Stegostoma tigrinum: one gene and its partners. The protein of the gene in region 4 purifies or fractionates together with the protein of the main gene of each other region. This does not show direct contact. Links are inferred from orthologs where the notes say so. Each region holds a gene or a part of one and is shown on either strand. Other genes may lie near its edges.

Region 1 (7,848 bases), on a different chromosome or scaffold from region 4:
CAAACTCTTCTAAGTTCCAATGTAAAAAAAAGTCCCAGCCTCTCCTTATAAATGAAAGCATCCAGTCCCAGCAACATCGTGCCAAGTGTCTTTTGAATGTTCTCTGACTTCATAACATCCTTCCTATAACTGGGTGACCAGAACTGGACACATTACTCCAGAACAGGTCTCAGCAACATCCGGTACAACCTCAACATAATATCCCAACTCCTAAATCCAAAAAGGTCCTAGCAAGGAAGGCAAGCATGCTAAACACCTCCTGAACCATCCTATATACACATGTTGCAAATTTCAAAAGAATTATGTACCTGAACCCAAGAGTCCCTGTTCCACATCACTAAGCAAGGCTCCACTTTCAACTAAGTCCGTCCCTGCTTGTTTTACCTAAAATGTATTATCTCATATTTATCCAAATGAAACTCTACCTACCACTCCTTAGCCCAAATGAATGAAGATTTCTTTATAATCTTGGATAACCTTCTTCAGTGGGCACTACACCACCAATTTTGGTGTCATCCACAAACTTACTAACTATGCCAGTTTCATCAAGATCATTTAGATAAAATGATCAACAAAAGTGAATCCAACACTAAGCCGTTGAACACCACCAGTCTCAGGTGTCCAGTCTGAAAAATAATCTTCCACCATCATTCTCTATCTCTTGCCGTGAAGACAATTTTGTATCCAACTGGCAAGCTCAGCCTGAAACCAGTGTGATCTTTTACTAATTGGTCTACCAATCAAAACTTTGTCAAAGGCTCTACTTAAGTCCCAATAAACAACGTCTATTATACTGCTCTGAATCTTCTTGGTTACTTTGTCGAAAAAATCAAGTTGGTGAGAGACAATTTCCCCCCTCACAAAACCATGCTATCCGTAACTTTTCCTGGTCTTTCCCAATGCGGACAGCTATCTTTCAGGGTCACCTCCAACAATGTACCCACTGTTTAAGTAACACTCACAGGCTTGGTTCAGACTTCTCCAAACGTCCCTTTTTAAACAAAGGTAAAACATCAGACAGACATTCTCCACTCATCTGGCACCTCTTCCATAGCTATAGATGGTACAAATACTTCTGCAAGGGGCCCCAAAATTTCTCCCCTAACTTTCCACAACATCTTGGCATACACAAGATCAGGTCGTGGAGATTTATCCACTTTATAATTTTCTCAGACCTCCAGCAGTTCCTCTTATGTAATGTCAGCCAATTTCAAATTGTGAATATTTCCCTGAGTTCTCCAGCCTCCATTTCTTTCTCACATTAAAAACTGAGAAAATATTCATTTAGTCTCTCCCATCTCCTGAGGTTCAACATGACCTATGATTTTTAAGGAGCCCTATTCTCTCTGTAGGTGCTCTCTTGCTCTTAACGTACTTGTAGAATCGTTTTGGATTATCGTTTACCTTATTTGCCACAACTCTCATATTCCTCCTTTGCCTTCCTGATCTGAAATGTATGTTGCTGCCCCATCACATCATCATCCCAAAATCTCTGTTTTACAATAGCTTCTATCACAGTTTTGGAACTTGGATCCGTCATAACTTTATTTCAATAGTCACCTTTTCCAGGAACTAACTAAATAAGACCAGAGTTAATACAAAACCTAACTGGTTTATTTGATTAAATTATTTACCAAATACCATAATAAGACCTTAAAATATAACAGCAAAATCAGGATTCACCCAAGCAAGTCTATTCTGCCATTCAATTATAGCTGATTTGCTTCTCAACCCCATTCTCCTGCCCTTCCCCATAACCCTTGATCCCCCTTGTAATCAAGAAACGGTCTTAAATACATTCAATGTCTACGCCTCCAAAGCCCCTTGTAGTAACGAGTTCCATAGAGAAATCACTTCCTGGCTGAAGAAGTTTCTCCCCATCTCAGTTCTATAGGGTCATCCTTTCACCATGAGTCTACGTCCCAGGTCTGAGTCCTTCCTCCGAGTGGAAGCATCTTGCCCAGTCCACCTCTGAGATTCTCCCCTCAACTTTCTAAACTCCAAGTAGAGACCCAGAGAGTCCTCGAATGAACCTTCTATGACAAGTACTTCATCCCCAAGATCATTATTCTAAACCTACACTGGACTCCTGCCAACGTCTACACATCTTTCCTTAGATGAGGTCCAAAATTGCTCACAATATTTCAAACACGGTCTGCACAGAGCCTTGTACTGCTGAGGGACTATATATCTGGCCTCTATTCCAACCATCTTGAAATGAATGCTAACATTGCATTTGCCTTTCTTACTGCCAAATGAACCTGCAGGTTAACATGACGAGAATCCTGAACTAGGACTGCTCGGTCCCTTTGCACCTTAGATTTCCAAAAGCCTTGCCCCATTTAGAAAATAGTCTTTGCTTCTATTCTTCATGCTAAAATTTATAACCTCACTTTGTCAAACTGCATTCCATCTGGCACCACTTTGCCCACTTGCCTTATATGCCCAAGTCCTTCCGCAGCCTTCCTGCTTCGCAACATTATCTGTCCTTCCACATACCTTGTGTTATCTGCAAACAGAGCAACAATTCCTTTGCCCAGATCACTAGTGTATAACGTGAATAGCTGTGGTCCCAACACTGACCCCTGTGGAACCCCACTAGGCACCAGCTGCCATCCCTAAAAAGACCACAGAAATTCACTAAATTTCATATTTATATATATCAAAAAAACCAATTATATAATTTCACACATCTTACCCTTCTTGCCACAGTAGATAAACTGACCGGTGTGAATACCCTCTGCTGCAATGAACAGCTCAGTCCTCCTTTTGAACCTGTAAGGATCTCGGAACACCACCTTTGCTAAAGGAGCACCACGACCAGGGTCATGAATTATATCCTGCAAAGTAAACCAGGAATCTAATTACTTTTATAATCAGTCCTGTCATAAATTTAGCTATTTAAGCTGCTGTGATTTTTGAGAAAAATTTATGGTTTAATCCTTAAACATGAGAAGGGAAAGATTTAAAAAGGAAACGGAGGGCGATGCATGTATGGAAGAAGGTGCCAGAGGAAGTGGGGACAGGTGGGTACAACTACAACATTTAAAAGGCACCAGGATGGGTACACGAATAGGAGGAGTTGAGAGAGATATGGGTCAAACGGTGGGAAATGGGACTAGTTCCGTTTAGGATATCTGATCAGTGTAGACAAGTTGGATTGAAGGGTCTGTTTCTGTGCTGTATTACTGTGATTTATTTAATTCCTATATTTAAAAAATTCCATTCTTAAATGAAAACTTACCTTCACGATACCCTTGATATAACCATGACGTTCAGCAAAATCCACAGCTCTCAACTTTGCAGGACCTTTCCTGTGTTTCACATGAGCTTTGAAGACAGAGCCTGCACCCTTTCTCTGACCTCTAATTACACGACCCATTATGCAGCCTGTAAATACAAAAATCCAGTCTAAATATGTCCTAAAACTATCCTAAAAGTTAAAATAACATGGATAGTATACAAACTTCAGAACTACTGAAATTTTGCATTCAGTTAATTAGTCAGTAAAATGTAAAATTACAGGTATAAGAAAAAAAAGGCCCAGATATTCTGATGGAACAGCACAAATTAGAGGTGCAAATGAGAACCATATGGAATCCCAGACTCCATGGAAACAATTAAAGATTCTGATGATTCATCTGACCCTCCAGAAGAATCTATCAGAGGCAGAAAACTCATATAGTTCTACTGTTGGTTACTCCAGGAAAAGTTAGATGAATAAAAACCTAGTTCAACTACTCGTCAATGTTAAGCTGAACCCCCAAACACACCTGACAGTCACTTACCATCTCGGGCATCAAAATTCTGTAGTCCCCTCAACACATTTTTTGATATACCCATAGCAATCTATCACTTAGCTGGCACTCCAACCTCATATGCCTATCCTTTCACAGTAACTGTCAAAATGTTTGGTTCTTTGGATAACACTAGTAAGTGGGTAAATATATGGCAGATGCAGTATCATATGTATCAATGTGAAGTTGTCCACTTTGATAGCAAAAACAAAGAGGCAGATTTTCATCTGAATGGCAGTGAAATTGGAGAAGAGAAGGCACTTGTTTTGTAAAGAAGCTGGCGAAGGAAATTATATGATTATAAAACCTTAAGATGTAGAATCAGGCCATTATTGCATATCTTATTAGTTTTTAAAGTCTTTGAAATCTACAATCACAGGTTGTTATTCTGCTCCTTGTTTTCTTAATACTGAGCTCATATTTCTTTTTCCCGGGTCTTTTAGAAATGGCACTGTAAGTGATCATGCAAGTGCAGCTGGCAAAGACAACAATTACATTTATCTACATGGCAAGAGGATTCAACTACAGGAGCAAGAATGTTTTGTTAAGACCATACCTGGAGTAGTGTGCGCAGTTTGGTCTCCTTATCTGAGGAAGAATGTTCTGGCTATCGAGGGAGTGCAAAGAAGGTATATCAGACTAACTTGTGTGATGACAGGATTGACACATGGGGAGAGACCAGACCTCCTTCATTAGGATTCAGAAGGATCAGGAGACACCTCGTAGAAATCTTCAAAAGTTCTAAAAGATTAGAGGGTGGATGCAGGAATGATGTTCCTGATGACCAGAGAGTCCAGAATCTGGGGTCATAATCTAAGGATTAGGTCTTGGATGAGGGAATACAAATTCTTCACCCAGAGAATGGTGAGCCTGCAGAATTACCTGCCACAGCAAGATGTTGAGGTCAAAACATTGAAGACTTTTGAGAATGATGTAAATACAGCTTTTAGCACTAAAGGGGATCAAATGAGACCAGCCATGATCACAATGTGTGGAGCTAGATGAACACAGCAGGCCGAACAGCATCTGCTCCTAAAATGCTACTTGGCCTGCTGTGTTCATCCAGCTCCACACTTGGTTATCCTGGACTCTCCAGCATCAGCAGTTCTCATTATCTCTGACTAGCCATGATCACGTTGGTGGGTGGAGCAGACTGAACGGCCTACTCCTGTTCTTATTTTCTATGCTGCTGGACATTTAAATCTCAGGTCATGGCACACTCACTGCTGCAAGAGGACATCGTTTGACTTCTCCCAGTTCACTAGGAGGAACTATTTGCTTTTAGCTACTCACGGCATTTCTAAACGACCCGGGAAACAGAAATACTAGCTCAGTATTTAGAAAACAAACAGCAGAATAACAACGTGTGATTGTAGATTGCAAAGACCTAAAAACTAACGGAAGTTCCGCAATAATGGCCTTATTCTACATCTTATGGTTTTACGATCTTAAACTTCGTCAGCTTCTTTACGAAACAAGTCTGAATTCAATTTATTCTCAGTTCTTCCACTGGCAATAACCTAACCACAAATCCGTGCTAGTACAAAATATACCAAATCAGGGAGTCAGGAAAAAATTAAAACCTTTAACGCTGTTACTTATCCATAAATACAGCGTCTTCATACCCGGGGGCTCCATGTTACTGGAAACAGGCCCCGCGATCAAAGATGTATTTTAAACTGCGACATATCCGGACATTCGATAAAATACATTCTCAGCAGAAACACCGACATGATGCTGATTAACTTTGTTGAACAATATTAACCGGATGGCTGTTTGAACAGGGGATTAGACACGGATTGTCACCATTTACCCCCCACCGTACCATCCTTACCTCAAACACTATCCAGGCGAAAGGAAGTCACTCTCCAGCGCGCGACTACTTCTTCCGGACCCGTGGACATTGTCAGTAACATTACATATCTCCACAAATAATGTGCTGAAAATAAAAGATGATTCTTTTGAAGGCAAACTGTGAACGATATTCGTCAAAATTAAAAACATTTTAAAATTAAACTGGAGTTGTTTGCGTGACTTGGTATTGCATGATGGGTACTGTAGTTTTTTTTCCTTCTGTTCCCTTTGGGCCTGTGGCCTTAGGGGGGTGGCCCTAGACTTAGGGGGTGGCCATGGGCACCCGCATGGGCCCCAGCTATGCCTGCCTCTTTGTAGGTTACGTGGAACAGTCCCTCTTCCGCACCTACACAGGCCCCAAACCCCACCTCTTCCTCCGGTACATTGATGACTGTATCGGCGCCGCCTCTTGCTCCCCAGAGGAGCTCGAACAGTTCATCTACTTCACCAACACCTTCCACCCCAACCTTCAGTTCACCTGGGCCATCTCCAGCACATCCCTCACCTTCCTGGACCTCTCAGTCTCCATCTCAGGCAACCAGCTTGTAACTGATGTCCATTTCAAGCCCACCGACTCCCACAGTTACCTAGAATACACCTCCTCCCACCCACCCTCCTGCAAAAATTCCATCCCCTATTCCCAATTCCTCCGCCTCCGCCGCATCTGCTCCCACGATAAGACATTCCACTCCCGCACATCCCAGATGTCCAAGTTCTTTAAGGACCGCAACTTTCCCCCCACGGTGATTGAGAACGCCCTTGACCGCGTCTCCCGCATTTCCCGCGACACATCTCTCACACCCCGCCCCCGCCACAACTGCCCAAAGAGGATCCCCCTCGTTCTCACACACCACCCCACCAACCTCCGGATACAACGCATTATCCTCCGACACTTCCGCCATTTACAATCCGACCCCACCACCCAAGACATTTTTCCATCCCCTCCCCTGTCTGCTTTCCGGAGAGACCACTCTCTCCGTGACTCCCTTGTTCGCTCCACACTGCCCTCCAACCCCACCACACCCGGCACCTTCCCCTGCAACCGCAGGAAATGCTACACTTGTCCCCACACCTCCTCCCTCACCCCCATCCCAGGCCCCAAGATGACATTCCACATTAAGCAGAGGTTCACCTGCACATCTGCCAATGTGGTATACTGCATCCACTGTACCCGGTGCGGCTTCCTCTACATTGGGGAAACCAAGCGGAGGCTTGGGGACCGCTTTGCAGAACACCTCCGCTCAGTTCGCAACAAACAACTGCACCTCCCAGTCGCAAACCATTTCCACTCCCCCTCCCATTCTCTTGATGACATGTCCATCATGGGCCTCCTGCACTGCCACAATGATGCCACCCGAAGGTTGCAGGAACAGCAACTCATATTCCGCCTGGGAACCCTGCAGCCATATGGTATCAATGTGGACTTCACCAGTTTCAAAATCTCCCCTTCCCCTACTGCATCCCTAAACCAGCCCAGTTCATCCCCTCCCCCCACTGCACCACACAACCAGCCCAGTTCTTCCCCCCCACCCACTGCATCCCAAAACCAGTCCAACCTGTCTCTGCCTCCCTAACCGGTTCTTCCTCTCACCCATCCCTTCCTCCCACCCCAAGCCGCACCCCCAGCTACCTACTAACCTCATCCCACCTCCTTGACCTGTCCGTCTTCCCTGGACTGACCTATCCCCTCCCTGCCTCCCCACCTACACCCTCTCCACCTATCTTCTTTACTCTCCATCTTCGGCCCGCCTCCCCCTCTCTCCCTATTTATTCCAGTTCCCTCCCCCCATCCCCCTCTCTGATGAAGGGTCTAGGCCCGAAACGTCAGCTTTTGTGCTCCTGAGATGCTGCTTGGCCTGCTGTGTTCATCCAGCCTCACATTTTATTATCTTGGAATCTCCAGCATCTGCAGTTCCCATTATCTCTGGGCCTGTGGCCTTTGTCTGTTAATCAGCTTCTTGGTTTCTGGGAACTCCCAGTTTACAGGCGCCCTGCACTTAATGGTAAGGAGCTGCATTATCCAAAAAGAATCAACAGTTTCTTTCCAGTTTCAAGGACAAACATAGTGAATGTTTTATTTTCAAAAATTGAAATTAAAGATTTTCTTTTCTATCAGTGCAGTGCTGATATGTTAGCCTCTTTTTGCAAAGGATGTTTTATTCATAAATGATCTGAACGAATATTGCAAAAAATTCAA
Region 2 (7,616 bases), on a different chromosome or scaffold from region 4:
GAGGGAGAGGCTGAATAGACTGGGACTATATTTCCTGGAGAATTGGAGGCTGAGGGGTGACCTAACAGAGGTTATAAAATCATGAGGGGGGGATGGAAGGGCTAAGTAGATAAAGTCTTTTCCCTTGAGTGGGAGAGTCCAAAACTAGCTTTAAGGTGAGAGTGGAAAGATTTCAAAGGAACCCAAGGGGCAACTTTTTCATGCAGAAGGTGGGGCTTGTACGGAATGAGCTTCCAGAGGAAGTGGTGGAGAGTGGCACAATTACAACATTTAAAAAGACATCTGGATTGGTGTATGATTAGGAAGGGTTTAGAGTGAAATAGGCCAAATGAGACTGAATGTATTCGGGATATCTGGATGGCATGGATGAGTTGGACCAATGGGTCTGTTTCTGTGTTGCACATCTCTATGGCTATGACAAAAAAAGTGACACCAACAGCCAGGTATCCTGCTAAATGTCTACCTTACTGACGCAGGTGTACATTATTCTTCAATATTACCTTTAGAAGGTTGGATTAGTTCACAATACACATACACAAAAAAGAAAGTCAAGTTGCACTGGCTTGTCAACCTCCTTCGACTCCGCAGTAGTCATTTACCACGCTAGGATTACCAATTCTCTGGGAATGTTATAAATTGTAAACACCCTGCCTTGATGCTAATGACCTAGTTTGGAAATAGCGAGTCAATTCAGGCAGAAAGTCAACCCGCATCTAATTGCTTTTTGTCATTTGTTGATTCCAAGGAGAGTTGCTGGCAAAGTCAACATTTTTGACCTTTGTCAGTGACCCTTCAGAAGTGGCACAGTGTTGCTTTCTTGACTCAATGAAGCCCTTGAGGACCAGGTACATCCACAACACTTAAGAAAGGAGTTCCAAAATTTGGACTCAGTGAAGGAAAAGTGTTTGGGAAGGGAACTGGCAAGTTCTTATTTATCTGCTGCCCTTGTCCTTTGAGGTGGTGGAGATCATGGGTCTGGAAGGTACTTCCAAGGAGGCTTAATGAGTTGCTGCACTGCATCTGGTAGATCATACATACTGCTATTACTGAGTGGTGATGGTGGGAGTAGACATTTGAGAATGTAGCGTCAATCAAGCAGGCTGCTTTGCCCTGGACAGTATTATGTTTGAGTGTTGTCAGAGCTGCACACGTGCAGGGATGTGGAGAGTACTCCATCACACTCCTGACTTGCACCTTCTGGATGGGTGACTGGCTTTAGGAAATCAATGTCCATCAGGAATTGCAAGGTCATCAGGCTTTTACATAAATCATTCCATGGGCGTCACTGGAAACGGCAGTATTGATTCCCTTGAAAATGTTGTGAGCATCTTTTTGCAGCAAAGTCCAGCATTATTTTGTGATGGAAAAGCATCTGTGTGCCAAATATGTGGGCTCCAAGGGTAAACAGATCTTTGAAAAAACACAGAACTGCAGATGCTGGAGAATCTGAGATAACAAGGTGTCGAGCCAGATGAACACAGCAGGCCAAACAGCAGAGGAGCAGGAAGGCTGACATTTCGGACCGAGACCTTTTTTCAGAAAAAAACAACCCTTCTGGGTAGGCATCTTTAGAAGAGGCTTTGCAGTGGGGTTAAAATTGTTTCAGAGATAGCAGGAACTGCAGATGCTGGAGGATCTGAGATAACAAGGTGTAGAGCTGGATGAAAACAGCAGGCCAAGCAGCATCAGAGCAGCAGGAAGGCTGATATTTTGGGCCTGGACCCTTCTTCAGAAAGAGGGTCTAAACTGAAAACGTCAGCCTTCCTGCTCCTCTGATGCTGCTTGGCCTGCTGTGTTCATTTTGAAAATGCACTGCTGCCTTAGAATCACAGAATCCCTATAGTGCAGAAAGTGGCCATTTAGTCTGCACCAACTCTGAATAGCATCCCACCCAGGCCCAACCCCACAACCCTATCCCTGTAATCCCACATGGGGTTTTTAACCAGGGAGTTTTAACCCACTTAAGCTGCACATCTTTGGACATAACAGGGCAACTTTTAGCATAGCCAATCCACCTGGCTTAAATATCTTTGGTCCGTGGGAGGAAACCAGAGCATCCATACAGACACGTGGAGAATGCACAAACTCCAGTCACTCAAGGGTGGAATCGAACCTGGGTCCTTGGCGCTGAGGCAATAATGCAAACTACAGTGCTATCTATCACTGCAATACACTGTCTGAATTTAACCTTTGATTATTTGCACGTTTATAGTTGCTTACACAAGTAGGAAACAAGGATGAGAACTGGAGTAGGCCATTCAACACAGTATCAGTGCAAAATTCAGAAAGGCCACTACCACTCAGCAGTGGATTCAGACATAATGAAGTGTGGTAAATAATATTTAAAGCATGGGAGTATAGTTTCAATAAGCCAACTCTTAAACAACGTAAACACAAACAACCTTGCCCACAAAACTGTCACTTTGACAAATAATGATGATCTAGCGTTTTTAAATATTACTTCAAACCACAAATCGACTTAATAAAGTAACTTGTCAGATAATACACTTTTTAATCTTAAGAAAGTGATACAGGGCGTTGGGATGTCATCCTTTTAGCAAGCTATTTAAGAGACTATGTTTATTTAAAGCCCACGCCCCCTTGTGCGTGTGTTTTCTTTGAACGAGGCCTTGCTCAAGGCTTCCTGGGCCTCTGATTTACTTACCGCACTCCAGCAGATCAGGTCATTGGTGTCGGGATCCTCGATTAAAGTCCATAGTTTGGTGAGGAATGCGGGCACATTGCTGCCGTGCGCGTCCATCCGGAGACGCGGCCGGGGCCGACCGTGCAGGCGGCGGACCTCAGGCCCCTAAGCCGAGGAGAAACTGGGGCAGGCACACAAGCCGCTGGCTGGCCTCAGTATTCAAGGACCCGGGCTTGGACCGCAAGGGAAAGGTGGTCTAATCCGCTCAGTGAGAGAAAGGGAACGAAGTGGGGCGGAGGAATCTCCTGAACAAAATGCGATCTCCAAAACGACACCTTATCCAGCAGCGGCACACTCCACAGCAACCGCCGCCATCTTCCTCACGCAGTCTTTCCGGGCCCCTCCCCCCCTCAAACCACCCATTACGCAAAACACGGCCTTCATTTACCTCACCGTTTGAAAAATTTCATTTTCCCCTCCTTGCCGCATCGAGAACAAACCCACTCACTTATCTGCTAGACCTTGTAAGGGCCGTTTTGTTTAAAAAAAGTGGAAAATCCATCTTTAACCTTTAACCTTCAGGCTAACGGGCCAATCACCGTTTCCATTCCCACACCCACCTCCACTCGCTACCCGCCTCCTCAACGTGAACGCTACGTCCGTCCAGTGTCCTCGTGACGTCATGCGTTGACTTAACCTCTGACCTTTCCCGCAGCGCGGCTCCTGCAGTAAGATGGCGGCTGAGAGCATGTCGGTGGCCGGGGACAGGAGGAGCAAAACTGCAGGGAATAAGCGGTCGCTTCCAGATCTCGATGAAACGGACCAGGTCTGTTTGACTGTTGTTTTTGCGGGTGTTTTAACTCGTGTTTTGGGTGCGTCAGTAATTTTCGCTTGAAGCGAGGCAACGAGGGCGGGCGGAAATGCTGTTCTCGAAACCTCCAACGTGGGTCTGGATGAAACCGTAGTTCCTATTCAGTTTTCAAATCACTCCTTTTTCTCTCTACTCTCCCTCCTATTATCTTCTTGTAAACCTATTCGATGACTTGCTGCTGCAGTCCACTTTACCACAAGGAGACTGTGCTCCTTAATGTCGTTCAAGATTTTGATCAAAGGATCATGCGTGTTCTCTCTGAACTCTGGTAATTTAAAAATTGCTTCCCGTGAAGGTGTACAACATGTGGCTTCTTACTGTGGGCTCCACTGCTTTTTGTCATCTCCTTTGGCTTGATAGCATTTGATGAAGGAACAATAATATTGCGTGATTCCAGAACCAGGCATCGCAGTTTAATTATTATCGGGTGCCTGTTTAGGACACATGGTCCCACATGGAAGGCTGGTCCAAAAGGTTATAGCTCTTGGGATTCAAGGCAAGTTAGCAAATTGGATCCAAAATTGGTTTACAAACAGGAAGCAAAGGGTGATGTTCGACGGCTTTTTGGTGATTGGAAGCCTGTGACCAGTGGTATACCATAGAGGGAGGTGCTGGGACCCTTGCTGTTTGTTATAGAACAAAGAAAATTACAGGACGGGAACAGCCCCTTCAGCCCTCCAAGCCTGCACTGATCCAGATCCTCTACCTAAACCTGTTGCCTATTTTCCAAGAATCTGTATCCCTCTGCTCCCTGCCCATTCATGTATCTATCTAAGTACATCTTAATGACACTATCGAGCCTGCCTCTACCACCTCCGCTGGCAACACGTTCCAGGCACCCATCACCTTCTGCGTAATGAACTTTCCACGCATATCTCCCTTAAACTTTTCTCCCCTCACCTTGAAATTGTGACCCCGAGTAATTGAGCCCCCAACTTTGGGGAAAAAAGGGTATAATTAGTAAGTTTGAAGATGACATAAAAACTGATGGTGTTAGTGAGGAGAATGGTCTCGGGCTATAGTCTAATATTGATTAACTGGTAAATTGGGCAGAGCAGTGGGAGATGGAATGAAATCCTGATAAGTGCAAAGTGATGTATTTTGGAAGGTCTAATATGGGAATGATATACACAATGTGTAGTCAGTCGCCAAGGGATTGCTGAGGAACTAAGGGACCTTTATATACACGTCCAGGTATCTCTGAAGGTGTCAATACGGGTAGACAGAGGTGAAGAAGGCACATGAAATGCTTGCCTTCATTAGTCGGGGCACAGAATATAGGAGCAAGGAAGTCTTGTTACAACTTTATGAACATTGATTGGGCCACAAATGGAATAGTGTTTACAGTTCTGGTCGTCACGTTGTTGGAACGACTGGATTGCACTGGTGAGGGTGCAGAGCAGTTTCCCTAAAATGTTGTCTGGAATATAGAGTCTCAATTATGAGGTGTGACAAGATAGGACTTTTTTTCCTTCCTTGTAAGAGAGGATGTGTTTAAGACCAGAGGCATAGCTTGATATGCAGAGAGAGTGGTTTAGAAGGAAAATTCTTTTATCCAGAAAGTGGTAGAAATATGGAATGTTCGTCTTCCCTGGACTGACCAACCCCTACCAACACTCGCCTTTACGCGCTCCATCCCTGCCTTCTTGACCTATCTGCCTCCTCTCCACCTATCTGCTCCTTTATCCATCTTTCATCCACCTCCCCCCCTCTCTATTTCAGAATCCCCTTCCCCTCCCCCATTTGTGAAGAAGGGTCCAGACCCGAAACGTCAGCCTTCCTGCTCCTCTGATACTGCTTGGCCTGCTGTGTTCATCCAGCTCTACACCTTGTTATCTCAGAAATGTGGGATGCACTGCCTGAAAGGTTGGTAGAGGCAGGTCCTCATGCAACATTTAAGAAGCATCTGGATTAATGCTTAAAATGCTGGGGCACAGTAAGCTACGGACCAAGTGCAAGTAAAGGGCATTAGTGTAGTTTGGTGTTTGTTGGCTGGCATGGACATGGTGGGCTGAAGGGCCATAGACGGCTTGTCCAAAAGACGTCTTAGACTGAAATGAGAAATCTATTCACCCAGAGTTATTTTCAGTGGAGTTTTTTTTTGTATGCGGAAAGTGGTTGGAGTTTTTTTTTAATGGAGTATGTCTTCTTTTTAAAATGTGAAAAAGTGAAAAGCTTTCACTTAAGATTGTGGAAAAACAGTTGTCTTGTGGAATATAAGATCAACATATAGTTAAAAACCAAAAGAACTGCGGATGCTGTAAATCAGGATCAAAAACAAAGTTGCTGGAAAAGCTCAGCAGGCCTGGCAGCATCTGTGAAGGAAAAAACAGAGTTAATGTCTCACGCCTGGTGACATTCTGAGGAAGGGTCACCGGACCCGAAAGATTAACTCTGTTTTCTCCTTCACAGATGCTGCCAGTCCTGCTGAGCTTTTCCAGCAACTTTGTTTTTGATCCTGATCAACATATAGTTCCCTACGAACAATGAATTTTGAAGTGGGGACCCTTTGCTCGAGCGTGAGTATCTCTTAAGATTATTGTAGAGGGAAAAAGGTTTGAACTCTTATTTCAAGGTTTATGGCGAGGCTTTGACCAGTACGATATAGTTGGTATTTTTGTTTCCTTTTTATTTGTGCATAATAAGCATTGTTGTTCTTTTCTAACAAGTACATTGGCTGCTTCTCATGAATATGTTCATAGAATGATTACTGCAGTGAACAAATTGCAGAAATAAAACTTAAGGCTTGTCAAACCAAGATTTATGAACCAGCCCAGTTCGTCCCCTCCCCCCACTGCACCACACAACCAGCCCAGCTCTTCCCCCCCCACCCACTGCATCCCAAAACCAGTCCAACCTGTCTCTGCCTCCCTAACCGGTTCTTCCTCTCACCCATCCCTTCCTCCCACCCCAAGCCGCACCCCCATCTACCTACTAACCTCATTCCCACCTCCTTGACCTGTCCGTCTTCCCTGGACTGACCTATCCCCTTCCCTACCTCCCCACCTATACTCTCTCCACCTATCTTCTTTACTCTCCATCTTCGGTCCGTCTCCCTCTCTCTCCCTATTTATTCCAGTTCCCTCTCCCCATCCCCCTCTCCGATGAAGGGTCTAGGCCCGAAACGTCAGCTTTTGTGCTCCTGAGATGCTGCTTGGCCTGCTGTGTTCATCCAGCCTCACATTTTATTATCTTGGAATTCTCCAGCATCTGTAGTTCCCATTATCACATTTATGCTGGGATTGTCTGGTATTGCCTTCAAATATGGTCATTGGATGTTGCAGGAAACCTTCATGACCTACCTTTCCCTATAAGAGTGGACTTGATGGGCCGAATAGCCTTACTTCCACTCCTATGTCTTATGGTCTTATAATCTATGTCGCTGAAGGATAAAGGCAGGGACATGTGATAGGCACAACACATGTGCTGCGTGGTAAGGTTGTATATGTTAGTACAACATCTCCTCAATCAAACATCTTGGAGATGTTTCAAGTGCAATATTGTTGCTTGAGAGAGGAGAAGTTACTCCAGTCCCACTACTCTGTAAGAGTATGAGAAATAGAAACAGGATTAGACCATTTGGCCGGTTAAGCCTACTGCAGATTAGGATCCTAGCTGATCCAAAATTCATCATATCCGTTTTTCTGCTCCTTCCCCGTAATCCTAGATTGCTCCGACTGATCAAAAATCTATTTTGGCCATGCATATAAACTAGGGCTCTCCCCTCATCAACTCTCAGTTGCAAGAATTTCCAAAGATCTTTAACTCTGAGTGAAGAGGTTCCTCCCCATCTCGGTGTTAAATTAGTGCTCCTTTATTCTGGGGTGATGCCCTCTGACCCTAAACGCTCCCAGGAGGGGAAACATTCTCCTAGTATTCACCCTGTAAGGCCCTTTAAGAATTCAATATGATTCAATGAGATTACTTCTCATTCTTCTGAACTCTAGTGAGTAGAGTCCCAACCTATTTAACCTTTGCACATAAGACAATCCCTCCATACTAGGGATTATCCTGGTGAACTTCATCTGAATTGTCTCTCATGAACATTTTTTTTCCTTTTGATTTATTCATTTGGTGGAATGTGGGCACGCTGGCTGGCCA
Region 3 (8,232 bases), on a different chromosome or scaffold from region 4:
AGAAACTTACTGGCATCCAGATTTTTGAAGGCGTGTATCAATTGGGAAATGGTGTTTGCCAGTTCTTCCTGTAACAAACAGTAGAGATTTTATTCAGTTGAACCACACAAGCCTAGATCTCCAATTTTCAATTTGTGATCAACTCTTGTCCAGATGAAGGGGGCGCAGATGCATACTTACTGCCTGCAGAAAGGAGACTGAACAACCCTGTCACAGAGTTACATCACATGAATGCTTCAGTGTGCCAGTGGCAACACTCACCCCCACAAACACATTCTGTGCTTCCTACAACCTGGGACTCTTCATTTTCTGAGTGAGGCAGACAAGCCAAACTTCAAATCAAGAACTTTTGACTCAATATTAAGGTAGTTAGAAAACGTCAACAAAAAGACACATGGCCACTGGAGAACTGCTTGTTAGGTCAAAGAGAGCTCACTGTCTGTCACTTGACAGTCCTGCTGCACACAGTCCAGGTCAGACCCTGCAGCACCTAAGGAACATTAGCAAACCCAATGGGTTTTTCTGACAATCGACAATGGATTCATGGTCATCATTAGATTCTCCATTCCAGATATTTACTGAATTCAAATTCCACCATCTACCATGGTGGGATTCAAACCTGGATCCCCAGAACGTTATCAGGGCTGTGGGTTAACAGTCCAGCAAGAATATCACTAGGCATCACCTCCCCATCCACAGTCCCATCAGGGTTTGCTAACAAAAGTACACCGAAAAACCACACACACAAATCAAGTAATGAACTTCAACAGGAACCATCCCAGTGCGCACACATGAAGCTGCGTGCGAATACTATTTTTTGGGCAAGATCACACTGCAGCAACAGAGAACTACGCCAAGAGGAAGAAGAATACCTCTTCCAAGTGTTCAAGGATAACAGATATCCAAAGAACTGGGTCAGAAGAAGATGACTACACGAATAGCATCAGAAAGATTCTACACACTACCGTACATTCATCACACTACCCTACATCAGGAACATGTTGGAACTCACCACAAGACTCCTACGAATGCTGGGCATCAGAGTGGCACAACCCTACAACAACTGCTCACCTGAACTAAGGACCCACTCCCTGCCATGGACAGGGCCAATGTCATCTACAAAATCCCCCGCAGAGACTGTGAGAAACTCTACATCAGACAAACAGGAAGGAAACTAACAACAAGAACACCAACTGGCTACAAAAAGACACGATGAATACTCACTCATCTCAATCCACATGGACACGGAGAACCACAACTTCGACTGAGACAACACCAAGATGCTGGGACAGGCTAGGCAGAGACAGGCACGGGAATTCCTGGAAGCTTGGCACTCCACAAAGCATGCTATTAATAAACACGTCAAACTCGACCCCATATACATTCCACTACGAAGGAAAACTGGAAGTGATGCAATCCATCTCAACGGACCCAAGTTTAAAAACCAGACAGGAAAACACATTGGCTCTTCATCGGAGGCTGCACTGAGGATGTTACCAAGCACGGTAATAAAACATTTGCAAAACAACGAACCAGCTCAACAAGCCAAGCAACCTCAACACCCACAACCCAAGCTATAGATCTACTCTAAAACCTTTGCAACCTGCTGTTGGGGATGCCCTCCTATAATCATGACTTACCTGTAAAAGTGGTTTGTCCTGCATCCACATGCAGTAGAAAATGCCCTTCCACATTTTCAGTAACTCTTCCTGACTGAAACCACCTTATAAAAAATAAAATAGAATGAATTGTTGGAGTTCTGAAAACTACAGCATCATGCATACACCAATGGACAATAGCCTATACAATTACCACATGTCAAACAGCATCATGCAATAAAAGACGACTTTTCTGGTAGCTTCTGAGGAGATGCATATTATTTCACATCCAGTGTAAGTATACTTATCATGATGTAGAGAAGTCTTGTCTCTCCAGTCTGCAACCTCCTTCAGTGTCATCCTTCTTTCAGAAATTGTCTTTTCCATTGCTTCTTGTTCAGTTCCACCTGGCTCCACATATCACCAGCTGTTACTGCAACCTGACAACTTTAGTCACCTCTTGTTCTTTTCCAAATCTTACTTTTGTCAGGTTAATCCAGGATCAGTTGGTGGACACCTCCTTCTGTTCACTGTGAGCCCACTAACACCTACACCCACAGAGAATCAGCTCACTGAACTCATCCTCTCATTGCCCTTCCACATCTACACTGCCCCAACAGTCACCGGTGGCATTCTCCAAAAGTGACGCCTATAACCCTTGTACCTCCCTTTACCTGGTAACCCAGATCCTCTTCAGCACTCATCAGTCAACAGCAGAGTCACCAGACTTCCGCTTCCCATTGGATCCCCATGTCGTCCAACATCATCTGTCCTAACCCATCCCCTCTCCCCGCCCTATCCCTCTCTTCTTTTCCACCCTGCCTGAATATTGACAGGCCTGAAGAGAGCAGATGTAGAGATGTTTCCACTAGTGGGACAGACTAGGACCCAATGGCTTGGCCCAAAGTGATGAGACGACCCTTTAGAACTGAGATGAGGAAGAATTTCTTCAGCCAGAAGCGGTGACTCTGTGGAACTTATTACAGTAGGGGGTTTTGGTGTTGAAGTGACAGAGTGTACTTCGGACAAAAATAGATAGGTTCTTGATTAGTAAGGGGATGACTAGTTATGGGGAAAAAGCAGGAGAATGGGATTGAATAACATATCAGCCATGACTGACGGTACAGCAGAATCGATGGGCTGAATGGCCTAACTGCGCTCCTCTATCTGACTGTCTCTCTCTGCCCACCCCTCAGGTACCCACGTGTGAATGTCATGCGCCCCCCGGTGCGTTCCGGGGGCAGAGGGACGGAAGCCCCCCGCTGTTATTACCTGAGAGTCGTTGCGAGCGGGCACTCAGGTAGCGGCGGAGTTTACGAACGGCTCGATCCCGAAAGCGCTTCTCGTTGGAGGCGAGCCGCTGGGCAAACTGAACCTCGGCGGCGGCCGCCATGTCCGCACAGGGAATGCTGGGAATGCGGAGGGCCGAGGGCCGCCCCTGCGCAGTGGATGCCCCCTGACGTCAGCGCGCAGCGTCACCATGGGAACCACGCAGGGCCTTCTGTGTTGACCCTCGTCAGTGAGCAGCGGTGGGACTTCGGCCACTCTTGCCGGATTGGGGCCTGGAGCGGCTAGCCCAGCTATCAGGGGCACAATGACCGCGGTAACGTCAACTACTGTCCACTGTCAGCACCCACTGGAAATCCAGCTGAGTCCTGAAGAAGGGTAATAGCCGAAACGGTGACTTCTCCTTTCCTCCAGCCTCCGCCTGTCTTCCCTTCCACCCCGGGGCCTCTGCAGTTTTTTCCTGTGTCAAACTCACTGGAAATCGCGCCTTGCTATTTTCCAAGTTATCACAAAAATATTAAAATTAGTACATAAAATTTTCCACCTTACCTGTTGTCCAGATCAAAGTCGATAGAAAGCACTGCCCAGGTTTCTGTAATTAACAAGAATGACTTTATAACCAGCGAATAGACCCTTTGCAGTTAAACAGTGACAAACGTTCTTCCCTTACAACGCCCCCCCACTCCCCACAAACACACACACACACACACCCCTCCGTCACATACAGAGACAAAACCAGGCTTTTGTTATCCATAATTGGTCACCAGGCCATAAACCATATAAACCAAAAGAACTGCAATTGCTGTAAATCAGGAACAAAAACAAAGTTGCTGGAAAAGCTCAGCAACTGTGAAGGAGAAAAACAGAGTTAAGTCACTGAACCCGAAACGTTAGCTCTGTTTTCTCCTCCACAGATGCTGCCAGACCTTCTGAGCTTTTTCAACAACAGTGTTTTTGTTCCATAAACCATATAACACCTTGTAGACAACCCCTCAGCTTCAGTCTGACCACAAACTAAACTTCAATTGCTGCTTGTTTCAAACACTGTTTCCTGCATGCTTGCCATGAGGCTCATGTGACTTGTTTTTCAAAGCATGCAGTAAACTTTTCAAATAATGGTTTTAAAACAGTCCTTTCTGCTTTCAGGACACAATTGAAAGAAAACACGCAAAAATAAAAATACACACACTTTATAGCATGATTACCTTCACCATTGACCATGGTAATATTGGTCAATAGCCATGGTCATACAGCACGGAAACAGACCCTTCGAGCAAACCAGCCTATGCTGACCAGGTTTCGTAGAACACAACACACAAGAGTACAGCACAATACAGGCCCTTTAGCCCATGATGTGGTGCTAACCTATTATCCTACTGAGATCAATCTACCCTGCATATCCTACATTTTACAACCCTCCATGTGCCTATCCAAGAGTCGCTTAACAGTCTCTAAAGTATCTGACTCCACTACCACTGCCGGCAGTGCATTCCACACACCCACCACTCTGTATGAAGAACCTACCTCTGACATCTCCCCTATACCTTCCTCCAATCACCTTAAAATAATGCACCCTCGTAATAATCATTTCCACCCTGGGAAAAAGTCTCTGAGTGTCCACTCTATCTATGCCTCCAGGCGTAGCCTTGCCAACACCCTTAACAGCTGCAGCATAACCTCCCTGTTTTTAAACTCCAGTCCTCTAACAATGAAGGACAACATTCCATGTATCATCTTAGTTACCTGCTGCACCTGCAAACCATAGCCCACCCTGGCACAACATCCATGGCTGCAGATGACCAAATGTCTTTGATAGGGCCTCACAGTTTCTCCCCTAACTTCCCACAATGTCCTGGGATACACTTGATCAGGCCCCAGAGATTCATCCACCTATATGTTTTTTAAGACCTTTACCTCTTCTTTTGTATTGTGGACTGTTTTCAGGTCATCAATATTTATTTCCTCAGTATTTATTGACTTCCTTCCATTTCTTTCTCCTCAGTAAAAATTGACATGAAATAATCTCCTGTCGCCTGAGATTCCACACAGAGGCGATCTCATTGATCTTTAAGAGGTCCTATTCTCTCATAACTTCCTCTTTTGCTCTTAATGTACTTGTCGAATCACTTTGGATTATATTTGAGATAATAAAGTGCGGAGCTGGATGAACACAGCAGGCCAAGCAGCATCTCAGGAGCACAAAAGCTGACGGTTCAGGCCTAGATCCTTCATCAGATCATCAGATTCATCTGATGAAGGGTCTAGGCCCGAAACGTCAGCTTTTGTGCTCCTGAGATGCTGCTTGGCCTGCTGTGTTCATCCAGCTCCGCACTTTATTATCTTGGATTATATTTGACCTTGCCTGCTAAGGCTATCTCATATTCCCTTTTTGCCCTCCTGATTTTCCACTTAAGAATGCCTCTACACCCATTGTACTCTTCACTTGAGCCCAGTTGTCTATACCTAATATATACCTACTTATTTTTGACCAGAGCGTCAATATCTTTATTAATCTATTATTCCCTACTCTTACCAGCCTCGCTCTTCACCCTAATTGGAGCAGAATGCCTCTGAAGTCTCACTATCTCACTTTTGAAAGCCTCAAACTTGTTAGTCATGGAGTCATGCAGCATCAAAACAGACCCTTCGGTCCAACTGATCTGCAGTGACCGTAATCCCAACCTAAACTAGTACCACCTGCCTGCACTTGGCCCATAACCCTTCAAATACTTCTTGTACAGGGCCATGGTGAGACCACACTGAGAATATTGTGTGCAGTTTTGGTATCCTTTTCTGAGGAAGAATGCTCTTGCTCTTGAGGGAGTGCAGTGAAGGTTTACCAGGCTGATTCTGGGGCTAAGAAGTTGTGGAGCTGGATGATCACAGCAGGCCAAGCAACATCTTAGGAGCAGGAAAGCTGATGTTTCGGGCTCTGGCATGTTATCTCGGTTTCTCCAGCATCTGCAGTTCCTATTATCTCTGATTCTGGGGATGGTGGGTCTGAAGTATGAGGAGAGATTGACTAGGTTGGGATTGTTTTCGCTAGAGTTCAGACAAATGAGGGGGGATCTCATAGAGACTTATAAAATTCTAACAGGACTGGACAGGGTAGATGCAGGGAGGTTGTTCCCGATGGTGGGTGTGTCCAGAACCAGGGACACAGTATGAGGATTTCGGATAGACCATTTTGGATGAGGGTGAGGAGACATTTCTTCACCCAAAGAGTGATGAGCCTGTGGAATTCATAATCACAGGAAGTAGTTGATGCCAAAACATTGAATGTATTCAAGAGGCAGCTAGCTATACCGCTTGGGACAAATGGGATCAAAGGTTATGAGGAAAAAGCAGGATTAGGCTTTTGAGTTGGACGGTCAGCCATGATCGTGAAGAATGGCAAAGCAGGCTAGATGGGCCGAATGACCTCCTCCTGATCCTATCTTCTATGTTTCTATGTTAGTCATGTACTTACCTAAATGTTTTTTAAACAGAATTCTACCTGCATCCACCACTTCCTGTGGGAGTTCGTTCCACACATGAACCACTCTGTAAAAAAAATCTGTATCTTTTTAAAATCTTCTGCCTCTCACCTTAAAAATATGTCTCCTAGTCTTGAAATCCCCTGCCCTGTGGAAAAGACACCCGCCATTCACCTTACCTATATCCATTGTGATTCTATAAACTTCTATAAGGTCACCCCTCAACCTCCTACACTTCAGTGAAAAAAGTCACAGACTTTCCAGCTTCTCCTTATAAGCCAAACCCTCCATTCCTGGCAACATCTTGGTTAATCTCTTCTGAATCCTCTCCAGCTTAATAATATCCTTCCTACAACAGTGCGACCAGAACTGGACATAGTACTCCAGAAAAGGCCTCAGCAAAGGTTTTTTACATCCTCAACATAATGTCTCAACTTCTGTACTCAGAGGTCTGAGCAATGAAGGCAAGCCTGCTAAACACGCTTTTAACAACCTTATTTATGTGTGATGCCAACTTCAAAGAATTATTTACCTTAACTTCCTACCTAACTTCTTACATTCATTCTGCAAATCTTCAACCCTTTCCCTAACTATGTTGTTCTTACCAATGCCCATGACCATTGTTGCATTGCCCATTAACACTGGTAATCTTCACAATGAATCTTGGTAACCTGTGCCAGGGCTTTGCCCACAACACTGACAGACCAACTTCTTCGGATAGATGCCCAAATGTTTGGCCAAAGAAGGAGGTTACCTTTTTATTCATTCAGAGTCACTGCCAAGACCAGCATTTGTTGCCCATCTCAGTAAGGGTCGATTAAATTGCTGTGGACCTGGAGTCACATGTAAGCCAGAACACGTAACGGTGGCAAATTCCCTTCCTGTAAGGACTTGAGTGAAAATGATGGGTTTTTAAGATAATTGACAGCAAGTAACTAGATGGTCAGCATTAGGATAGTTCTTTCTCTCAGATTTAGTTTTATTTTAATTCAAACTTCACCATATGCTGTAGTGGAATTTGACCTTATGTCAAGGGAAAACAGGTGGATTCGCTCTTGTTGGAGATAGCATTTGTGTGGTGTGAATGTTACTTTGCCAGTTGTCAGGTCAAACTTCAATATTGTCCACATCTTGCAGCATTTGGACATTTACTACTTCAGCATCCAAGGAGTCAAGGATGGTATTAAACAATACATCGTCATTGGTCAACATCCCCACTTCTGACCATCAGACAGATGGAATGTTGTTGATGAAGATCTGAAGATAGTTGGGCCAAAAATACGACCCTGAGAAATTCTGGCAGTGTGACATCCTGGAGCTGAGATGACTAACCTCCAACAACCACAACTGTTTTCCAATGTGCCAGGTATGACTCCAACCAATAGAGAGTTTCTCTGATTCCTGCTGAGGTTTGCTCAGCCCTTGATGCCACACTTTTGGAAAATACAACCTTATTGTCAAGGGCAGTTACTTTCCCCTCCCCTCTGGAGTTCAGCTTTTTGTCCATGTTTGGACCAAAAATACAATGAGGTCAAGAACTCAGTGGCCTTGCAAAAGCCAAATTGGATATCAGTGAGTAGGAGCTGCTTGATAGCACTGATGTTGACACTTTCTGTCTCTTTACTAATGATTGAGTATGGTGTGACAGGACAGTAGTTGGCTGTTTTTGATTCGTCCTGCTTTTTCTGGACAGGGTATACCTGGGCAATTTTTCACCTTGACAGATAGGTGCCAGTATTGTGGCTGTATTTTTATGGTTCATGAGATGCAAATGTCAATGGCTGATCCAGCAATTTTTCCCTGTACAGAAAATGTCCTTGAGAGGGTGAATGAGAGCTACTCTTGAACTGTTGTAGCCTTTACAGTAAACT
Region 4 (8,164 bases):
CTGAGACTTCCTCAAAGAAACATTGGTCAGTTAGGATTTCCCTTTCATGAAATCATGCTGATCCTGCTTGATTAGATTATGATTTTCTAAACATGCTATTACTTTCTTAGTAACGAAAACCAACATTTTTCCAACAATTGATGTTGGGTTAATGGCCCTATATAATTAGGTCTTTATTTGCCGGCCCTGTTTTTCAAGAGGAGCATCACATTGGCAGTTTTCCAAAACCCTTTTTTTCCAAAACAAAAAACAGCTTTTGTTGCAGAATATACAGCAATCAAGAAGTCACTTTATTAAGTGTGTTAGTTTGTCTATTAATAGCTGAAATTGAATTTACACTGTTCAGGTTTGTTTATGCAGCAGAGCAAATCCAATTTGAAGATATAATGCTCACAAAACTACACCTTTGGGCTTGGAAAGTTCTGCAACTTTTACAATCAACTCCAAAACAATATAATTGTATAAATTCTAAACCTGACTTCATCAGCATAGAACAACCATCCCAATTGATGGAATACATTTCATATTCTATACCAGCTGAATGCCTGTCTTTTAAAGAAAAAGGTCCACATTGATGCCATTGCTTCTCAATTCTGTTCCAATTAAGTTATTACACCCGGTTCACAACAAACAACTGCACCTCCCAGTTGTGAACCATTTCAACTCCCACTCCCATTCCGCAGACGACATGTCCATCCTGGGCCTCCTGCAGTGACATAATGAGGCCACCGAAGGTTGCAGGAACAGCAACTCATATTCCGCTTGGGAACCCTGCAGCCCAATGGTATCAATGTGGATTTCACCAGCTTCAAAATCTCCCCTCCCGCCACTGCATCCCAAAACGAGCCCAGCTCATCCCTGCCTGTCTAACCTGTTCTTCCTCTCACCTATCCCTTCCTCCCACCTCAAGCCGCACCTCCATTTCCTACCTCATCCCGCCCCCTTGACCTGTCTGTCTTCCCCGGACTGACCTATCCCCTCCCTACCTCCCCACCCATCTTCTCGTCTGTCCATCTTCGGTCCACCTCACCCCCTCTCCCTACTTATGTCAGAATCCTCTCCCCATTCCCCTTTTCTGCTGAACGGTCTAGGCCCGAAACGTCAGCCTTTGTGCTCCTGAGATGCTGCTTGGCCTGCTGTGTTCATCCAGCTCCACATAAGTTATTAAAGCATTTGTTATCACTGTTCCCATTCCTACAGTAGTAGGAACATTTGTTATGCAATAATTGTTAATGTTTCTGTGTCAAAAAGTTTGACAGCAATTACATTTTTTCAAGAGATATCAATAGTGTGGAAGTGCTACACAGGACTATCAGAGATGCATGCCAGATGTTGTGATGATATAAAATATGGACAACTGATTATCAAATTCCAGCAATTTACTGTCAGCTTATATTTCAAGAGCTTTTTTGAAACAGCACACGATAGACTTTTGACTGCATAAATGAAACAAGCTGGAAGAAGTATTCTCTCTGCCTCTCAAGAAGAAAATTTCAATGACAACACCAACAGGAAAGAAACGTTAGAATCCAGACAACATAGAAGACACCTGCACATTCATTACCATTGATAGTCCTGACAATTTACCAAATGTGGTCTCAGGTTAAACTCTTATGCCACAAGGACATCCAAAGGATTGTAAGTGTATTTTTTTTGGAAACTATCCTTGAGAGGTAGAAATGTTGTATCTTACTTGTTTACAAGTTCTGCTGATAAGGCATTCTGCTAAATAACTGACATTCTTCACAAGGGAACCATTCGACAGGACATACCTTCTCCTTTTTCAGGATGATGTGAAGGTGCCAGCATTAGACTTGGGGGAACCAAGTCAGAAGTCACACGACACCAAGTTATAGTCCAACGGGTTTATTGAAAGCACAAACTTTCAGAGCGCTGCTTCATCAGGTGACTTCACATTCAGTTGCCAAATATACCTGTTGGACTATAACCTGGTATCATGTGACTTCTGAACTTTTCCAGCACGATCTCAAAGACATTACGTACTAGTAATGCTTGAGACCTGTGGTGTAATATCTTCCACACAAGTTTCCCCACAAGGCACAGTCTAGCTATCTGGAGTGGCATTGTGATTAGACATATCCTTAGCATCGCAACAAACAGTAGATTGCTAGCACAGTGACTTTTGGGGTTTGCCTACAGAAAATCCATGCACATCACGCAACTATAACTGTAATATTGGGTAAATTTTTCCTGCTTTTTTTTGGAAGTTTGTATATCATAACCCAAATATAGCATCTATTTTCAAAGTCTAAGTAAAACAGAAGATGGCTTGGGCAATCATCACAGCTTAGGAACAAGGATTGGGCCAGGTCTATGCCACGTACAGCAACACGAATCATCTAGCACCCAATGACCAGGTTCTTAATTGAAATGAAGAGGAAGCATCACTCCCCCATGTCCACTTTTTAATCTCACCTTGGCTACTTACTCCAAGTTTAGTGTCCAGGCCTCCTCCAAACTATAACCGCAGCACTTTCAGTTTTATATGATCAGATTGTGAAGGAGACAAAGGATAGGTCAGTCATTATCCCCACCAAAAAAGTCACCTTTTTGACTCATTTCATCTTGGCTCACAAGGCCCATTTGAACTAGTTATAGATGCTAATTAATCCGACAGCAGATCCAAGCAGAAGATGCTGATGTCACTCATGGAAAGGGAAGTTTTGACTGGGGCACCTTCATTATCTGGGATACATTTGTTCCAAAAATAAACTTTATTCATAACATTTGCAAAATTACAATGCAAATTATTTCAACTTGAACATTACAGAATTTGCAATAAAATTCAACTTGACCCCATACATCATTGTTCCAATCAATCCAATTGCAGACATCTAATTTAAGAAACACATTTCATGTCAGCTCTTGAGGCATAGGGCAAAACATTTCAAATTGCAAATTACAAGTAAAATAGAGATAACATTTTTCTCTGTACATTACTTCCTATTTGAAGGTGCCTCGATATATGTTCAATTCTTTTGATTTGTAGTGTGCGTTCTAAGTTACAAAGGTTGATGTGTTCTATGGTTTCCAGTCCCCTAATATGCTATGGCTGAAAGGCCTTTCATCACTGCAGATCTAGAATGGCTAAAGCTTGGTATAGCTTATTCCTCAGCATGCACTATAGTTCTGGACATTGGAATTTGCCATTCTGCAATACTCAGTCAAGGACAACTGGGAGACCAGCAAACTCCAGGGAGACTAAAGGGCATTTTTCATCAAGTTGATAGTCCTTAATGCAGTAGCTGTTTGTCTCATTGTGCTCAATAGTCTTGCACTTGTGGGTGCGCAGAGCTGCTTAAAATGAATCTTGACTGAAACAGTTACACCTATCTTCTCATTTCCATTGCAAAGGCACCGTCCTCAAGGTAACAGTCTCTTTCTCACCATAGTTATCTCAAGGGCAGAATGTAGACTGACAGACTTGGAGAATGTAGAAGGATCTCACAGGAAGGGCCTTTCTCAACACCAAACATGTTATCTGGGATATGTTTTATGCCCCAAAAATATACATATTCGTAGAATTTGCAAACAAAAACATTTTGACAAATATTACTAGACTTAGGAAAAAAAATCTAACATGCACAGATGTTAACAGTCTTCAATATTTAGCAAATACATCCCATTCAGACTGAGACAGCTCACTTCAAATTGCAAACTGTGCAATCAATTCAACATTCTCTGTACGTTATACTCTGAACTGCCTCACCACATATCTGACACTAACATTAAAACATAATCTTTGACGCACACAGCCCAAGACATTTCGATTCCAGCCTTCACTAAATCATGGCCGGTACCCAGTGAAAGAGGCATTGCTTTGTACAGCATAGAAGCAGACCCTTTGGTCCAATTCATCCAGGTCAATCAGACATCTTAAATTAATAAGTTCCAATTAACACTGAATCAGTTTTAACCCCTTGGACACTGCTTGGTCTGCTGTGTTCATCCATCTCTACACTTTGTTATCTCAGATTCTCCAGCAGCAGCAGTTCCTACTATCTTTAAATTAATCTAATCCCATTTGCCAGCATTTGGCCAATACCTTTCTAAACCTTTCCTATTCATGTAGCTATCCAGGTGCATGATAGGTTTAAAGTTGTGTAGTTGTACCAGCCTTTACTACTTCCTCTGGCAGATCATTTTGTACACAAACCATCCTCTATGTGGAAAAAGTTGCCCTTTAGGTTCCTAGTCATGTCTGCTATTTTCAGTATTACAGTGGTCTGTAGTTTTCCAGGTCTGTTTGGGACATGTATCAGCCATATGACATTCATAGTTTTATAAAGGGAAGTTGTGAACTTATAATACATCACGATAAAATTAGAATTGAGGGTGAAGAAACGAAAATAAACTATTTTACTCCAAATGAGTTCAACTTGTCGACGGCAAATAAGCTGTTGAGTTGAAAAGTGAAAAAAATTTAAACAAAAATACCGTTACACTCTCAAAAAGGTTGGTTTAATGTCATTCAAGCAATGCTTCAGCCTCCTACATCACTTTCACTCACCCTCCCCCCCCCCCCCCCCCGGCCAAAGCCATTTCACTTCAGCGAGTCAACACCGATTTCACTCTCATAATATCCCAACCGTACAAGAAACAGTAGACCCCAAATTAACCCTATCTTTCCACCCCCCCCCCGAAGCAAGCCCAATCAGAAAGCAGTTTTGAACAAACCACAGTTTATTCGATACTCAGGACGGCCATTTTAAAGTAGCCCAGCCATCATTTGGCCTTTTTGAGTAATACACGAGCTGCTGATTCGCCGCCTGGAACACTGATCAGCTCTGATTGGCTCGTCCACCCGACTATTGGGTCGTTCCTGGCCCGAGGTGGATGCTGTGGAGGGCCCCACCTCCAACGCATGAACCCAGGACACGATTGGTTAGCCTCTGCGGGCGGGGCTAGGTTCTGGAATTTCCGATTGGTGAGAACGCATCACGTGGGCGTGATGTCAGTCAAAGTGGTGACGTTCCGGGTGGCTTTCTCTTTTGCTGCGCAGCTCGCGGGGGGAACAGAGACACGTGGGATCGCTCCGTTCGCTTGTGTAGACAAGATGGTGAAACTCGCTAAGGTGAGTGAGTTATGTTGTGGGCCTATGTGTGCAATCTGCCTGGCTCTTTGTCGCCTTCGGCTGTAGACTCCCTGATCTGATGGCCGCGAATCGGGGCCCGAGTGAGACTTCCGTCGGGTCCCTGAGAGCTGGCAAGATCGAGGCCCCTGGACCGCGTGTTGGTCTCGGCCTATAACGTTCCTCTCTCCACCCCCCCCTCCCCCAACACGCTCACTCGTCGTGTCTACGCTCATGGCGCAGGCTGGAGGGAATTCAGGCGATTTGTTCCCATCCTCGCCCGAACCTATCTTTTTTCCCCACGGGCTTCGTGTTTGTTTTAAGTCGCTACCTTCGCCCGGGCCATCCGAGCTCCGGGCTCATCCACTCTATCTCCCGATTGGGGTCTTTGATAGTGCGTTGGGCTCGCACTCCGGGGTTCCTGTTCGCCCTGCACCCGCCTGCTACTTCGCGCGTCTCTGAGTCCCGCTGTATTACCGACGTTCATGTCTTAAATTTTTATTTTGCTGTTTAATTCAATTTCTATCGTCCACCTCCACATCCCTTCTCTTCCCCCCCCCCCCCCCCCCGAAAAAAGGTTGCGTCCTGCAAACGCGTCCGCCTTGTTCAGGCAAGTCCACGTTTTGGGAAACACGTGTATGACTTGAACCTGCATGTTGACCATTTTCGGGCGTTCTCCTGGTTGCTTTTGGTCGCTTGGAACTTGTTTCTCCATTGCTATTGAGCCATTCCTACATTTGAGTTCATTGCTGATTTTAAAAGAAACTCGCCCAAATGTGGTCGATCATTGTTCCCGGATTTTATAGGCATGCAAGCAAGAAAATCATTATTTAGACCCTTTTGTTTAGATTATGCCCAGAGGGGCAGTGAAATACTTCTGAAGTGTAATTGCTGTTATGTAAAACACCACTGATTGTTATGAGTAATGAAAACAAAAAAAATGAGCAGTGAATAGGTGTTTAAAGCTACATTTTAAATCTGTGTCAAATTGCTTGCTCTGATCCAAAAGAATTTGCTGGTGCTGGGAGTCTCAAGTAAAAAATGAATGCTGGAAATCCTTGGGTCTGAAAGCATCTAATATTTCATACCACAGGCCTCATTTTGAATTTGTTTAATTTTTAGTCATAGTTTAGTTGCTTTTGCATGAAAGTGGGAGCTCAGTAACTTCCCTAGTGTAATTGCACATTTGATGTAAATATTATGGGCCATTTGATTTTTCAGGGTAGAATTTATGCCCTCTGTATAGCATATGGAAAATCTAATTTAGTTTTATTCTTCAGGCAGGTAACAAGCAAGGAAAACCTAAAAAGGCTGCCCCTCCACCACCACCACCACCTGCTGAAGAGTTTGAAGAGTCCACTTCTGATGAGGAAAGTGAAGAGGAGGTAATTATTCCATTTCAGTCAAAAATCACAATGTATTAAGCCCATCAAGTCTCCAGGTGGATGATTCACTTAAAGCTATTCTTCTGTGTCTCCCTGAAACCTTGAACACACAGCCCAATTTTACTATGAAGAATCCTCAGTTAAACCTCCCTTCGGGTGCAGTGTGGCAATACACTTGAGACTTTTAATCCATTCAGGATGGAAACAGTTTCTATCTATTCTGCCTCATGATTTTGGAATGCCTTTTTCAAATCTTTTTTTCTCCAAGGTAGAGTCCCAACGTTTGTGACTAAGGTTTCTAGTACTTCTTACTGCATATGTGAATGTTTTCTTGCGTTTCTTCAATGCCTTCACATTTTAAAGTAGGGCATCCAGAATTAAATGCAATATTCCAGCAAAAGTTGTATTACTGCCTTGCGAAATTTCACTGTAGCCTGAGTACTCCATGACCCAATTAATTAAGCCTGCGCAATTGTACACTTTGTTAACTGCTTTCTGTTGTGGATCCTCAATGATTTGTATCTATATGCATCCAGTTCCCTCTGCTCCTTTAGACCTGTTCTCTTTGTTTTCTACCACATTCTTCCAACCAACATAAATTGCTTCATGTCTCTTAACATTGAACTTATCATCAAAAAAAACTGTCCTTTTAACAGTCGTTTTGAAGTTGTGGAGTTTGGTTTGTTGCAGTGCTTCCAAATTTGTTGTATCAAACTGAATCTTGGGATACTGATTTTCCCGAGTATGGAATGAAGTTAACCAAATTTTGCCATTTGTCTGCATTATATTATTTCTGACCAGATTTTTGGTATTGTTGAATGTATTAGTAAATGTAGTAATCACATTATATTTTAAATGACATTGATTTAGGAACTGCCAGCACCACCACCAATTAAGAAGGTTGCTAAGACCCCACAGTCTTCCAACAAAAAAAATGGTAAAGCTGTAAAGAAAGAGAGCAGCGAGGAGGAAGAGGAGGTGGAGGAGGAGGAAGATGATGAGGAGGAGGATGATTCTGGTAGGTGCTCAAAAGCCGCAGTATTTGTCATCTAATCTTGCCATCTTCAGGGCAGTAAAATGTTCCATGATACTTCAGCTGGGTTATCATTCTAAGGTTGACAGTGAGTCTTCCTATAAAATGATAGGGACCACCCCAATCGTCCATTCGGGTCATACTGAACGACTTCACCTTTAACTCCACTCAGTAGCTACAGGTCAGAGTTGTGGCTGTGTGCTCTCCAGGGATACCAGTTATGTCTATTTCTTCATGGGTTACGTGGAACATTACTTGTTCTGATGGTACTTGGTGTCTCCACCTACAAATCTTTCTCCAGTACAGGTAGTTCTCCTGTAATGCAGTAGTTGCGTTCTTGTATGACCTCACGCTATAGAAAATCGCTAAACCTGTACAGCAGAGAATTAGTGTTATCCAAACAGTGTCTATTATTCATCAATCATATTACAGCCAATTTGTGTAAACAAAACACACATTGTAGCAGAGCTAATGGAAACTGCAGATGCTGGAGATTCCGAGATAACAAAGTGTGAAGCTGGTTGAACGCCGCAGGCCAAGCAGCATCTTAGGAGCACAAAAGCTGACGTTTCAGGCCTGGGCTTAGACCCTTCATCAGAAAAAGCTTTTTCTTATGAACAGTCTAGGCCTGAAACGTCAGCTTTTTTGCTCCTT

The links.
Region 1: the proteins of ncl (region 4) and rpl8 purify together in Homo sapiens (affinity purification with mass spectrometry; 3 studies listed by BioGRID and IntAct, with this or other methods). This does not show direct contact. The link is inferred for Stegostoma tigrinum from reciprocal best matches to the Homo sapiens genes NCL and RPL8.
Region 2: the proteins of ncl (region 4) and hsf1 purify together in Homo sapiens (affinity purification with mass spectrometry; 3 studies listed by BioGRID, with this or other methods). This does not show direct contact. The link is inferred for Stegostoma tigrinum from reciprocal best matches to the Homo sapiens genes NCL and HSF1.
Region 3: the proteins of ncl (region 4) and ribosomal RNA processing protein 1 homolog A purify together in Homo sapiens (affinity purification with mass spectrometry; 3 studies listed by BioGRID and IntAct, with this or other methods). This does not show direct contact. The link is inferred for Stegostoma tigrinum from reciprocal best matches to the Homo sapiens genes NCL and RRP1B.

The regions. Positions count from the first base shown.
Region 1 is NC_081365.1:43,926,863-43,934,710, reverse strand, and holds the start of rpl8 (large ribosomal subunit protein uL2), read right to left. Parts: upstream 3,391-7,848; 5' UTR 3,383-3,390; coding exon 3,245-3,382; intron 2,841-3,244; coding exon 2,699-2,840; intron 1-2,698. UniProt on the Homo sapiens protein: Component of the large ribosomal subunit. The ribosome is a large ribonucleoprotein complex responsible for the synthesis of proteins in the cell.
Region 2 is NC_081355.1:158,993,697-159,001,312, reverse strand, and holds the start of hsf1 (heat shock factor protein 1), read right to left. Parts: upstream 3,034-7,616; 5' UTR 2,762-3,033; coding exon 2,666-2,761; intron 1-2,665. Other genes in the region: ribosome biogenesis protein bop1, read left to right, coding at 3,378-3,470. UniProt on the Homo sapiens protein: Functions as a stress-inducible and DNA-binding transcription factor that plays a central role in the transcriptional activation of the heat shock response (HSR), leading to the expression of a large class of molecular chaperones, heat shock proteins (HSPs), that protect cells from cellular insult damage.
Region 3 is NC_081365.1:1,311,479-1,319,710, reverse strand, and holds the start of ribosomal RNA processing protein 1 homolog A, read right to left. Parts: upstream 3,005-8,232; 5' UTR 2,992-3,004; coding exon 2,871-2,991; intron 1,724-2,870; coding exon 1,641-1,723; intron 69-1,640; coding exon 11-68; intron 1-10. UniProt on the Homo sapiens protein: Positively regulates DNA damage-induced apoptosis by acting as a transcriptional coactivator of proapoptotic target genes of the transcriptional activator E2F1.
Region 4 is NC_081367.1:43,733,308-43,741,471, reverse strand, and holds the start of ncl (nucleolin), read left to right. Parts: upstream 1-4,979; 5' UTR 4,980-5,077; coding exon 5,078-5,095; intron 5,096-6,372; coding exon 6,373-6,477; intron 6,478-7,347; coding exon 7,348-7,495; intron 7,496-8,164. UniProt on the Homo sapiens protein: Nucleolin is the major nucleolar protein of growing eukaryotic cells. It is found associated with intranucleolar chromatin and pre-ribosomal particles. It induces chromatin decondensation by binding to histone H1.